Linked DNA regions of Xenopus tropicalis. The protein of the gene in region 3 interacts with the protein of the main gene of each other region in a biochemical or structural test. Links are inferred from orthologs where the notes say so. Each region holds a gene or a part of one and is shown on either strand. Other genes may lie near its edges. The genes, in order: lrp1, plg and thbs1.

Region 1 (4,283 bases), on a different chromosome or scaffold from region 3:
ACGCATGGAAAAAAACAAAATAGAACACTATCATATAATCCATCAATTGTACCCTTCCTCTTTGTATTTTAGAATGTCAGTCTTTTATAGTAATTGTATAATTAAGGTCGGCAATTGATAGTAGCTATCGTGCTAACTGATAAAGCCCCAAGCCAACGGTACAGTAGATCGCGGCAATATGGACATATATGAGAAAATTAGATAAAACCAACAAGCCTAGCAGTCCACTAGTTGTTATAGGTGCAAAAATAAATCAGGGCTCATTGGAGCTTCTATTACACAAGTGCATTCAGTTGCTGTTCTATGATGCTGTTATTTGTTCTGATCTTGACCCAGTTTTGAAATCGCTATCAAGGGGGGGGGGGGGGGGGGAGAGAAACAAAGAGGACAAAGTGGCCAAAGCTTATTTTTCATAATACAGGCATGGGATCTGTTATCCAGAATGCTTGGGAACTGTGGTTTTCTGGTAAGGGATTTTTTTTTAGAGCTCCATACCTTAAGGGAGCCCATACATGTACCGGTACCGATATTACCATACAAAACAAGGTTTGTAACGTGTATGGCCATCTTAAGTCTACTAAAACATCACTTAACCATTACTTATTAGGATTATTAGGAAGGGTTTTTTAAGCTTAGTTACCATCAAGTACAAAGTTCTGTTTTATTATTACAGAGAAAAGGGATTTTTTTAATCAGAATTATTTGCTTACAATGGAGTCTAGGGGAAATATCCTTCTCATTATTCAAAACTTTCTGCATAAAGGGTTTCCGGTTAACAAATCCCATACCTGTACTGCTATCTTCTTCAGCAACAAGCAGCTTACAAGCAAACACAATATGTGTGTGTGTGATGTGTTTACATTTCATACACCAGCAAAAGTCCAAATTTAAAGCCGATTTTGGTTACTGCGTTGGAATATTTGCCGGAATCTTTAGTACTCAGAATGGATGAGGTGGAGGGGAAAAAAAAAAAGAAGTTAGCCAAATCCATCATAGCAAGAATGAGATCATGCAGCGGACTCCTCTAACATCTGGCTCGCAAACAAGACCCTATCCAATGAATCTCCCCTTCTGTCCCTGCCTGTGTTAAATGCCATGTCACGCACTGGAGGCGCACTGCAGCCCCACTGTGTAGAGAGGAAGCCGCTGATGTGGTTGCAGATGAGGTTTGCAAATAGCAAATGGAGATGCCTTCACAATGTCAGCCTTGTTTCCCTCGTCAACAACCCTCACCGTTTCCAAGTGATGCCATTAAGGAGAAAAAAAAAAAAAAAAATACACAGAATCAAACGCCATACTGTTGACAAAGAAATATACCATAACATTCATGCCCACTGCTTCTGACACGGCCCCTTTGTACAAGGCTGCAGAATATAAAGGTAGCTCACATGCCACTCACACTGGGCCTATGGACATGCATATTTCATATCCACCTAGATTGCTTTTCTGCATCACTAACTCACATACAGGCTAGCACTACAATTTCTAGGATGGGATTGGGAGCACTGGTTTAACCCACACAGGCACACATGACAGCATTTCCAAGGGGAAGAAATCCCAGAAAGCAATTCATTGTGCAACCTGGGTGAATTCAATTGGATTCAATACAATGCAAGAGGCAAAAGGGTTGAGTACAATTTCCACACGACCACAAAAAAAAAAAAAGTAATTCTGTATAGATAATGAGAAATTGGCTGCGTAAATAGTGTTTATAAATAGATAGCACGATTGTTAGATGGCAAGCCCATACGTCAGATGCGTTATAACTAATCAATAAAAAGGGATAGCCATTGATTTAATGAGATACACACACAGGCAGGCAAGAGAAGGGCTGATTCCCCCCCACCATGTGTGGATCATTTAGAATTTCCATCCATTATGAAACCACACAGAGCAATAGAAAGAAACCAGAGCTGTGTATGGAAGCTTTGCAATCAGAGGGGCCTATTCCTCAAACCAAATTTTTGCAATGACTGAAGAAAAGACCCTCACTTGGCCAGAAACAAAACAAATCACCCCTCCCCCTCTGGCAGAAAGGGGCACCTCTGGAACAGATTAGATCCAATTGCTACAATATAACAAGACAGTTCCTAACATTGCTCTATTTCATCTGAGGAAGAAACCTCGTCACAAACTGAAGTGGCCTGCAAAGCCATAACGGTAAGGGCCGACCTGGGCACATACACTACAGGGAATTCTGGGAAATGTAGTCGAACCTTATGGTATGAATGCGGCATAGAATGTAGGAAACGGAATATCGCTCAGTGTCAGGGCTGAATAGGTGTGTGTGTGTGTTACAGACAGCCATCCTAGCGTTCCCATTCCTGAGAGTGCGATCCGATTTGCAGGCCTGCAGTGAGGGATGTCAGCACAGAGAAACCTTTACCCCATTCCCCCTCTGCCCAGTCCCGAAGCCGCTCGGTTACAGGCGCAGCACAAAGCAGGACTTCTACTCACCATCGTTGACAGAGGTCGCAACAACGTGCAAGCAACAATACAGTAATCCCAATGCGATTCCAGCTGCAACATCTGTCCTAGGAGACGGCATTGTGGGGGGAAAGGACTAGCAGGGGTTAAGGTGGGGAGGGGGTGCCTTGATCCAGTGCTTGGCCCTCGCCTGGCAGCCTCCCTCCTCCTCTTGATGCCTTGATATCCAGACGCCAGTGGCCACAGAGGGGAAAAAAGAAATCACCCAAAAACGTGAACAATTAAAGGAGGGAAGGTGGGGAGGCTGAGGCCAGCAGCAGCAGCAGCAGGGCTGCCAATGGGCTGCACACTCTCTATTCCAGTGCTGGGAAGGGGTTGATAAAGGGGAATGGGGGGGTTGGAGTGAGGGGGCATATGCAGTCCTAGCGATTCCCCTTCTCGCCCGGCAATAGCTGCAACCTGACTGGATATCCCCCCTGATTATGAGGGATTGAGGAATCCAGCAGTGTTATTAATGAGAAGGGGAATGGCTGGGGAGAGACTATGTGTGGGAGGGAGGGGAGGGAGGGGGCGTGTCTTGTACGGTTAGCCCGCCCCCACCAGCTCTTGGGATAAGCAGGCTGCGGCTTTACAAGGGGGGCGGGGGTGGTCTCTAACCTGTGGCTTCAATGTAAAGCTTAGTCAGGGCCTGTTTTAGGGCCATTTGCCTGGGGTCCCTGCACAGTATTGATAAAAACACATAGAAGATAATGACAGTTTGTCTGGTGTATAATAGCGATGTTCACCCTGCAGCTTTCAATGTCATTAGAGAATTATAGTTTAACAAAAGCCGGAGGGCTGCCGGTCGGTAGCTCCTCTCAGATTCCTAGGGACCCTTTTCTAACTCTGGCCCTGCAAGTGGGTTCCAGCTTCATTGGCACTTTGGTTCATTTGTAAGTGGCAAAGATTCAATTAACTAGAAAGAAATCAGTATAGCATAGGTCAATAGGAGCCCTATCGCCCTATGTAATTGTGTAACTCTCTCCTGGCTCCTTTTTCCCTGGTAATAGTGCCTTCTGCCCAGGAATCCCCTGTCCCCTCCTCCCTGCCATTCTCCAGCATTCATTCTAATGCTCCAGTAGCTGATGTTTTGTCTTCTGTTCAGTGGCGGAACTAGAAGTTACTGGCCCCACAGCAAAATCATTTCAGGGTCCCCCTAAAATGTGGGAATAAGGCATTTTTTTTAAAAAATACTACTTATCTTACTACTTATCATTCAGCGCCTCACTGGGGCCCCTATATATTCTGAGCCCCCAATAGTAGCTATAGAAACTGCAGATACAGGAGTTGTTATCTGGAAATTTGTTATCCAAAAATATTAGTGCCATTTCCAATAGTGTCCTATATAAATATATATTTGTATACAATGGACTTGCTTTTTCTATAAGACAGTGCCTGACGGTATTAGGGGCACTACTGCCATAAAGCTGGCTAGGAAACTCACCTCAGGTGGCAGTGCCCTGAGCGTTACCAAGGGTTGAGTAAAGCCACTCCTAGTGACATAAGGAGATGAAATTCTGATTCTGAGTTGGCTCTTCTATTGCACTCTTGCACTAGCAATGCAACCCCCCCGACCAGCTCTGTCAGGAAAAAGCAGCATTGACCTGGCCCCCTCAGGGTGGCACTTAACCCTGAAACAGCGTTGGGCAGTATGCTTTATAAATCCATGGAGCAAATAACCAGTATCAGTATCAGTAATCAATACTCCTGGGCAACACTGTTTTGCAATGAATACTTGCCACTTTTAATTATAACGGTTGTACTTTTTGGGCATATAGAACATGCCTATACTTTTTTGGCGGGAACACACTTTAAAA
Region 2 (3,652 bases), on a different chromosome or scaffold from region 3:
GTAGTGTACCTTGTACGAAGACTTATTTGCCATGGCCAAGAAAATGGAATGGCTTCACATCCACCAACAATTCTCCCAAAGCACTTCCTTTGCTTTTTCTTTGGTTTTCCACATTCAATCCCAGTTGTCGCTGAAATGACAAAAAGGTCACTAAAGCATTACAAAGAAATGTCCGGACGGTACCCTCCAAGGTGCCCTGCTGGCCGCGCCCCTCTAACCCCATGCAGGGGCCCCCATCACCCGCCCAACATCCTCCCCTGAACGCGTGTAAGTAAAACACATCAGGAGAGGACACTGGTGGCTGGGGGACTGGTAACAACAACTGAGTCTGGACCGCCAGGGCCCACCAGGTTTTTTCGGCCCATTCCGACCCTGAACATTAATCAGAAGGCATGGTTAATCTGCAAAATAAATGTCTGGTGACTTTAAATATGCTACACAAAGGGCAATTAATTGGGTAAGAATGAGACCTTAATATAGCACAACCTAAATACTGTTATAAAAGCTGCTTCATTGTATGTCAATACAAATCTTCAGAATTAAAGCAAATTAGGTAATAGATATATTTGATTTTTCATTTTTTAAAACAAGTTAGTATAGAATAATTCAATTACCACAGCGAGGGATGTCACAGTATTCCCACTTAACTGTACCAGGAGTCGTTACAAAGCACCATGGTCCGTTAATATCTCCATCAGGATTTCTGCAGTACTATGTAAAAGAAAACACATTAGTTAGTGATTAATATTGCTGGTATACATTAGGTCTCATTCTTTATATCATGCTCCCCAAAGTAGTCTTAAGTATTTAGTGGTTATCCATCCCTCTGTAATACAGTACCTATGGGATGTAATTATGCTGGGGTGGGTTGGGGTGGAAAACAAGTATACTGTCCTAGATTTTCCTAGCACTATGGGTAAATGTCTGATATACCAGTATCTTTCTAAATCTGTAACATTGTTATAAGGTAAGGGGAATCCGGCAAGGAAGTCTTGAACAATATAAATTACAAAAATAAAGTGTCTAAGAAGTTTTAAACTACTACACTTTCCCTGGTATTTTTCCTCTATTTGAGTTCCCGCTAGGATATAAAATACTAACACACATAATAACACATGCCTACATGCTCCCCCTGCCCACCCTCTTTGATTGGGGCAAGGCCTAATGCAGGCCATATTTGATTCAAAGCTCAGTCCACAGGTGCACAATGGCGTGCAGAGGCCTAAAGACATAATGTATAAATGATGATATTGTTATTCTGAGATAATAAGCTATTAAGGAGATAAAAAAATTGCTTTTAAATGCAAATAAATATCTTACATTGCTTTCTAATCCAGATTGTGGATGAGTAATTGGAGTAAAACTTGCATGTTCTTGTGGTGATTGGGAACTCCATGCTTGGCATATATGTCCATTAAGTGTGGTTGACTTTATGCCACGATAATCTTCACCTTTGCTTACAATACAATCTGGAAAAAAGAGACATTGTTTGTGGCATTATTTATGATGTCTATTACCTAACAATACAGGTAGTTGAAATGAAGAAGTCATTTGGACGTTTTGAAACGTTTTCATGAACGTTAAAAAAAAAAGTTTAAAAAATAATGTAATATAGAAATAGTAAGCAAACAGCACTAAGAAGTCAGCTTCCATAAAACTATATAATAAACTGAATGCCCTAATTGTGTGATTCTCTGACAACTGTGTATTTTAGTCAGCAATGACTCATTGGGTGTGTGGTAAAGGAGAGATCATACAAGTGCACAAGTCACTATACAGTAAGTGGATTTTATTGGTTACTTTTTAACACACAATCTGTATTAACTTAATATACTATATAGTTTTTATTTAATGTGCAATTCCTTGTAGTGCTATTACTTTTATATCAGACTATGGACTCCTGCACAGATGGGATGATTCAGAAAGCTGCAATTCATTAATTGGATATAGCACATTTGTTTGTTGAAGATCACGTTTTAGCACTGATCAGTTGTTTAACTGTATGCCCTGCCCTGTCTGTGTGCCTGGCTGCCCCACTCTGCATGTGTGTGCCATACTCTGCCACTTTCCCTGTTTTTTTTCCTCTATTTGAGTTCCCAATAGGATTTAAAATACTAACACACATACTAACACATGCCAGAATTTGTTTGTAAGGGGGTTGTTTAAATATGTGCCGGGGGGTTCTGTGCTACCCACAGGGTCAAGGAGCCATATGGATTTAAGGGTATGTTTTAATATGATATAATATAATTCTTTCACATATGAGTAAATGGTAATATCCCTGCAATGCGCACCAATTATTTGGTTTTCTGGTGTGCTACTCAGCGCCGGATTTTTCCTTCCGGCGCCCCTAGGCCACCCCCGTTGGTCTCCCCTAAGCCCCCACCCCGGGGGCGCATGCGCAAGAATTTAAAGTCCAATACAGAGCAGTGGGGAGAGGTCCCCATTGCTCTGTAAGGGAGCCAAACTTACACATTTTATTGCGGCGGGGCGGCATGCCCCTAAATTTGTGCCGCCCTAGGCCCGGGCCTTTGTGGCCTCACCACAAATCCGGGACTGGTGCTACTACCATTAATGTGGGTATGGTCTTAAAAGTTCTTGTGATAACATGGGTGTGGCTTAAAGTAGGTGTGGTTTAAAAGGGAGTGGTCAAAATTGGATTCTATTATCAGCCCACCACCACATAGGTAAAAAATTCTGGGCCTTTGCAAAGTATTTGCAGTAAATATATTCTAGTAGAAAAGAAACAGCTGATCCTGTGTCATGCATCAGGTTAATGGAGTATCCCTTGTCAGCAGAAACAGTACTGACATAAACAGTGTCATATAGCTTGTCTAAACCATGTGTAAAGTTGCTACCCGTGGCTGTCAGACACTTACTATTCTCACCAGCAGGTGCAGGGCCTTTTGCTGAAAGAAGCAGGCATCTTCACACAATTGCAGTGAACTCAAACACACTTTAATAACAGGCATTTCTCACAGAGAGGCAGACATAAGACAGAGCTCTAGTTGCCAACAAAGGATGATAATAATGTACAATACTTCTGCAGATTCTCTCCCTCTTAATCTACTTTTCACACACATCCAACATTTCTCACCAAAGCCTCCAGGACCGCTGTCCCATCTGGATGCAACAATAGAGTGCCATTAGCCATTTCAGGGGCTCCCTGCTCACTAGGGATTGTTACCCCTTCCTCAGGAGCTCTACCCCTCTCTAAGCACCCCTCATTTGGACAACAGTCCTTGCTAACTTTCCCTCGCTACCTTTTACTCCTGGAGTGAACTCACATGCCACTGCTGCTAGCTAGTCTAGGTATCAACCCCCCAAATAGGTCTGGCCACAACGTCTCTGCCACGGCAGGCTTGGATGATTTCTTGAAGAAGCATAATAGCCAAGATTATTTGATACTAAAATCTACAATTAGTATTGAAGTTGTTGTATGTGAGTGTAAAGTAGGTTGGTATGCGCCTATGTCTGTGCACTGGGGTTCACTTGGAAGGGTGGAACTTGATGGACCTTGCTCTTTTTTCAACCCAACTTAAATATGTAACTATGTAACAAGTTTTATTTGCCTTTTATGTGCCTTTCTAGCATCTGGTCTCTAAACATTTCAAACCCACAGGTAACAAACAACCAGCTATATAGTTCAACA
Region 3 (4,151 bases):
ACCCTATATAATGCACATTTATCTCTCTATATGTTTACAAAGAAGGGGGGTGAATTCCTGCCAGACAGATGAAAAGGAAAGGATAGATTACATAGAAAGACAGGCAGACATAGGGGCAGATACAGGGACAGGGGTAAAAGACAGTTCCTTTAGGGAGACAGGCTGATAAATAGATCGAGAAAAAACAGAGTAGCTGATTTAATGGATAATAATAGATAAATATATACGGAATAGTAAGATAATAAATAAAGAACGCGTGTGGCACTTTACAAATAATAATAAATAGATAACAGGCAGATATAGCTGTGGATAGATTGACTGATTGATTGATTGATAGATAGATAGATAGATAGATACAGATTGATATGAAAGCAGAAAGAAAGAAATATGATATATAGTTGACATATGGATAGATAGATGTTGATAGATATAGATAGATAGATAGATAGATAGATAGATAGATAGATAGATCGATAGATAGATGATAGATAGATAGACAGACAGACAGACAGATAGGAAAGTAAGAAAGAAAGATAATATATAGATGGCATATGGATAGAGAGAGCTAGATGATACATATAGATAGATAGATGATAGATAGATAGATAGATAGATAGATAGATGATAGATTTTGTATTGTGATAAGCAAAGTAAAACAAAACTATATAGACTTATATAGGCTAAGACTAGATAGAGAAAGAGAGAAAGAAAGAAAGACATATAGATGACAGATAAATAGATAGATGGATAGATAGATATAGATAGATAGATATAGATAGATAGATAGATAGATAGATAGATGATAGATTATAGATGATGATAGATAGATAGATAGATAGATAGATAGATGATAGACAGACAGACAGACAGATAGATAGATAGATATTCTGTATTTCCATAGGCAGAGTAAAACAAAGACAAAGTAAAGCTTAGACTACGCATAAAAGAATCAAATCCCTATCGTTCAGCATATGAAAAAGTGCCAGTAGGTGATAAATAGAAAAAACCCGATAGTTATTAAAAGTGATCACCTTCCATGTACAAAATACAGTGTTTGTGTATAACTGTATATGTATATATATGGATATATATGGTTATACACTTGCATGCCTTTCCTGTGTATCTCTTGAATTGATACAAAAAAAAAAGAACTTGGCGCAGAGTCAATTAGAAATTCCTTAGCGTGCGTCAGCGGCGAATATTCGCTGTGCGATAGTTGTGTCTCTCCCTCATGTTGTGAGCTCATAGAATAAACAGTAGCCCGTTTCCTACCGCTCGGCCTGTGATTGGCTGGGGGAGGCTCTCTGGGATGTGCCAGCCGCTTTATATGGAAGGGGAGAGCGCTGTCCGGGGATCAGAGCGCACAGTGAGCTGTTGGGCGCAGCTAAGGGCTCCGTATTCTATTCCTACCAACTAGGCGCTATTAGCCCCACTACCAGCAGCAGCAAGGAGCGGACTCACCTCACCAGAGGAGCAGAGAGAGAATAAGGACAAGAGTAAGAGGAGATGCTTTCTTCCCATTGCTATCCCAGTGCTGCTGCTCTTGCTGTATGGACTAACTCATCCATGTACCATAGGGGTGCCTCCAGCCTGTACCTGTGGATGTATTACACTTCTTTCTGCTTATCTAATTCATTAGTGCATGAGCTTATTACATGGGGCTGAGGACCATGGCATATGTGATTCTGGCTTAGTGCATGATGCTTTTACCTGTATTAGGGAGTTAGCCCTTGGCTTTAAAATTGTTGGGTTTAAACTTTTCTGCAATGTTAATTCTTATAGTAAGTTTATAGAATTTACCATTCAGATTGCCTTAGTATATGACTGTAAGACTTGTGGCTAATTCATACCCATTACTGGCAGCTGATGGTCTTTGTGTCATTTTAAATCCACTTGTGATAGTATAACGCCATCCCCTGGCGCAGCTGGAGGTGCCTGGCACTGTATGTGTTAATTATATTGGTTTAGCGCTGTCCCTGATTACAAGCAAGGTGTTTGGATTTGCTTTTTTGCCTTACTGAGGTGCTGTTGCTGATATTTTGGAATTATTGTTTGAATAACAGGTGATGAGGTTCCCTTTCTGTTTAATTTAATATACAGGGAGAGGTGGTTGTGTGGTTTGAAATTGCTTGTCTGCTTGCCCCCCAGCTATAGATCTCCCTTTCTGTGCCATCCCTGTGGAATGTAAATGAGTGGTTATTACAAGCCACACCAAGAGCTTTATGAAACTTGTCATAAAGGAATGCTCACTATGCTTATTAATGTTACAACGCCAGTGCAATTCTCTTACTTTCCATGAGCATGATGAAAAGCTAATGTATAGATGCAATTACAGACAACGCAAGTTGGTATGTAGGTGTAATTAAAGGTGGAATTCGAGACCAAGGGGCCCCTAGCAATGCCAGAAGGCTGGGGGTCCAAATGCAAACCTTGACCTGTTGTTGAACTATAACTCCCAGCATCCACCGGCAAACCTTCAGAAGTCGTAGATCAACAACTAGGTGTAATTAGTACTGTGTATTTACAGACAGGTCTATTATTGGTGCTTTGAATAGATATATACCACTCACTGTGTTATTGAAAAGGTTAAATGCTATTGTGTGTGACCAGAGATATGCAATATGTGGGGCCCTAGCTACTGTTGAACTGCACCTCCCTGAGGGTTTGCCTAAACTGTTAAGTAGATACCTGGTTTGATGGTAGTGGATATATATTTATAGGTGTCCACCTTAAATTGTTTCAGAAGTAACTGAAGTTCTCCATCATGGGGATGATGAAGGGCATTTTCCTACTGTTGATGTTGGCCGTGCCTCAAACATATCAAGCAGCAGGTAAGAAGGAATAAACTGATATAACGCTTATATTATATATTATATTCTCTTTAAGTAATCACTGTCCTACAATTTGTATGTGTAGAAACTCAGAGTAAATGTAGAGATGGGGCTTTGTACGAAGAGGTGGGAATCATTACTTGTGTCCAGTCTGTAGGTGCAAATTGTCCCTTCATCTAAATTGCACTAAAACATCCACATCTGTGTCACTTTCCCCTATTTAAACACATATATTAGGCCAACTAGAAATCATGCCACTGACTCTCACTGTATATTGTATGAGAGAACCTCCTGGTTCTCCAGGGCTTGATTGTTACATAAAGTCTAAAGAACTTGTTCTGGCTGCTTCTGGGGGTAAATTTTGTATCAAACTTAGATATTCTGCATATGTTTCCATTTCAGAATCTGGGAATGATGATAACAGTGTATTTGATCTGTTTGAGTTAACGGGATACAACCGCAAAACTGGTTCTCGTAAGCCTGAAGGACTCCATTTAGTAAAGGGACCTGACCCTTCAAGCCCAGCTTATAGAATTGAAGATGCTGACTTGATCCCACCACTGCCAGAAGTCAAATTTCAAGATTTGCTGGATGCAATACGTGCTGATAGGGGGTTCATTTTGTTGGCGACTCTGCGTCAAGCAAAGAAAAGTCGAGGGGCACTTCTGTCTGTGGAGAGAAAAGATGGCGCAGGGCACATCTTCAGTCTGATCTCCAATGGCCGGGCTGGAACCCTAGATTTAAGTTTAAGTGGAGAAAGGAAGCAGCAGGTGGTGTCTGTAGAAGATGCTCTCCTAGCTACTGGCCACTGGAAGAACATCACCCTCTTTGTACAAGATGACCGCGCACAGCTCTATGTAGGATGTGACAAGATGGAAAATGCTGAGCTAGATGTGCCAATACAGAAAATATTTACTGAGGACCTGGCAAGCAAAGCTCATCTTCGAGTAGCAAAGGGAGGAGTAAAGGACAACTTTCAGGTGAGTAGGGCCAAGTAAACCTGAGACTCCTTTTAAGTGAAAAGATATTGAGAAGTGGTCTTTGGCTGAGCAGGCATGATTGATGATTCTTGTGATGTGTATCACGAAAAAGAATGGTAACAGAATTATATGTCTAGCAGAATGAGGGCTAATCCCTCATGTTTTGTAAAAATCAGTAAGTTTTCTTTGAATAGGTGTAGCAGAGTGGCTCTTAATCAAAGTAACCCAATTAGCAAAGGGGATCTAAATGGTTTCTTTCTCTTGCCAGGGAGTCCTTCAGAATGTACGCTTTGTGTTTGGAACCACATTGGAAGCTATTCTGAGAAACAAAGGCTGCTCA

What was found.
Region 1: the proteins of thbs1 (region 3) and lrp1 form a complex in vitro, tested with the Homo sapiens proteins (3 studies listed by BioGRID). The link is inferred for Xenopus tropicalis from reciprocal best matches to the Homo sapiens genes THBS1 and LRP1.
Region 2: the proteins of thbs1 (region 3) and plg form a complex in vitro, tested with the Homo sapiens proteins (2 studies listed by BioGRID). The link is inferred for Xenopus tropicalis from reciprocal best matches to the Homo sapiens genes THBS1 and PLG.

Annotation. Positions count from the first base shown.
Region 1 is NC_030678.2:139,400,055-139,404,337, reverse strand, and holds the start of lrp1 (prolow-density lipoprotein receptor-related protein 1), read right to left. Parts: upstream 2,952-4,283; 5' UTR 2,549-2,951; coding exon 2,458-2,548; intron 1-2,457. UniProt on the Homo sapiens protein: Endocytic receptor involved in endocytosis and in phagocytosis of apoptotic cells. Required for early embryonic development. Involved in cellular lipid homeostasis.
Region 2 is NC_030681.2:60,080,715-60,084,366, reverse strand, and holds part of plg (plasminogen), read right to left. Parts: intron 1,470-3,652; coding exon 1,321-1,469; intron 712-1,320; coding exon 615-711; intron 131-614; coding exon 10-130; intron 1-9. UniProt on the Homo sapiens protein: Plasmin dissolves the fibrin of blood clots and acts as a proteolytic factor in a variety of other processes including embryonic development, tissue remodeling, tumor invasion, and inflammation. In ovulation, weakens the walls of the Graafian follicle.
Region 3 is NC_030684.2:119,060,169-119,064,319, forward strand, and holds the start of thbs1 (thrombospondin-1), read left to right. Parts: upstream 1-1,337; 5' UTR 1,338-1,496; intron 1,497-2,743; 5' UTR 2,744-2,764; coding exon 2,765-2,831; intron 2,832-3,233; coding exon 3,234-3,811; intron 3,812-4,079; coding exon 4,080-4,151. UniProt on the Homo sapiens protein: Adhesive glycoprotein that mediates cell-to-cell and cell-to-matrix interactions.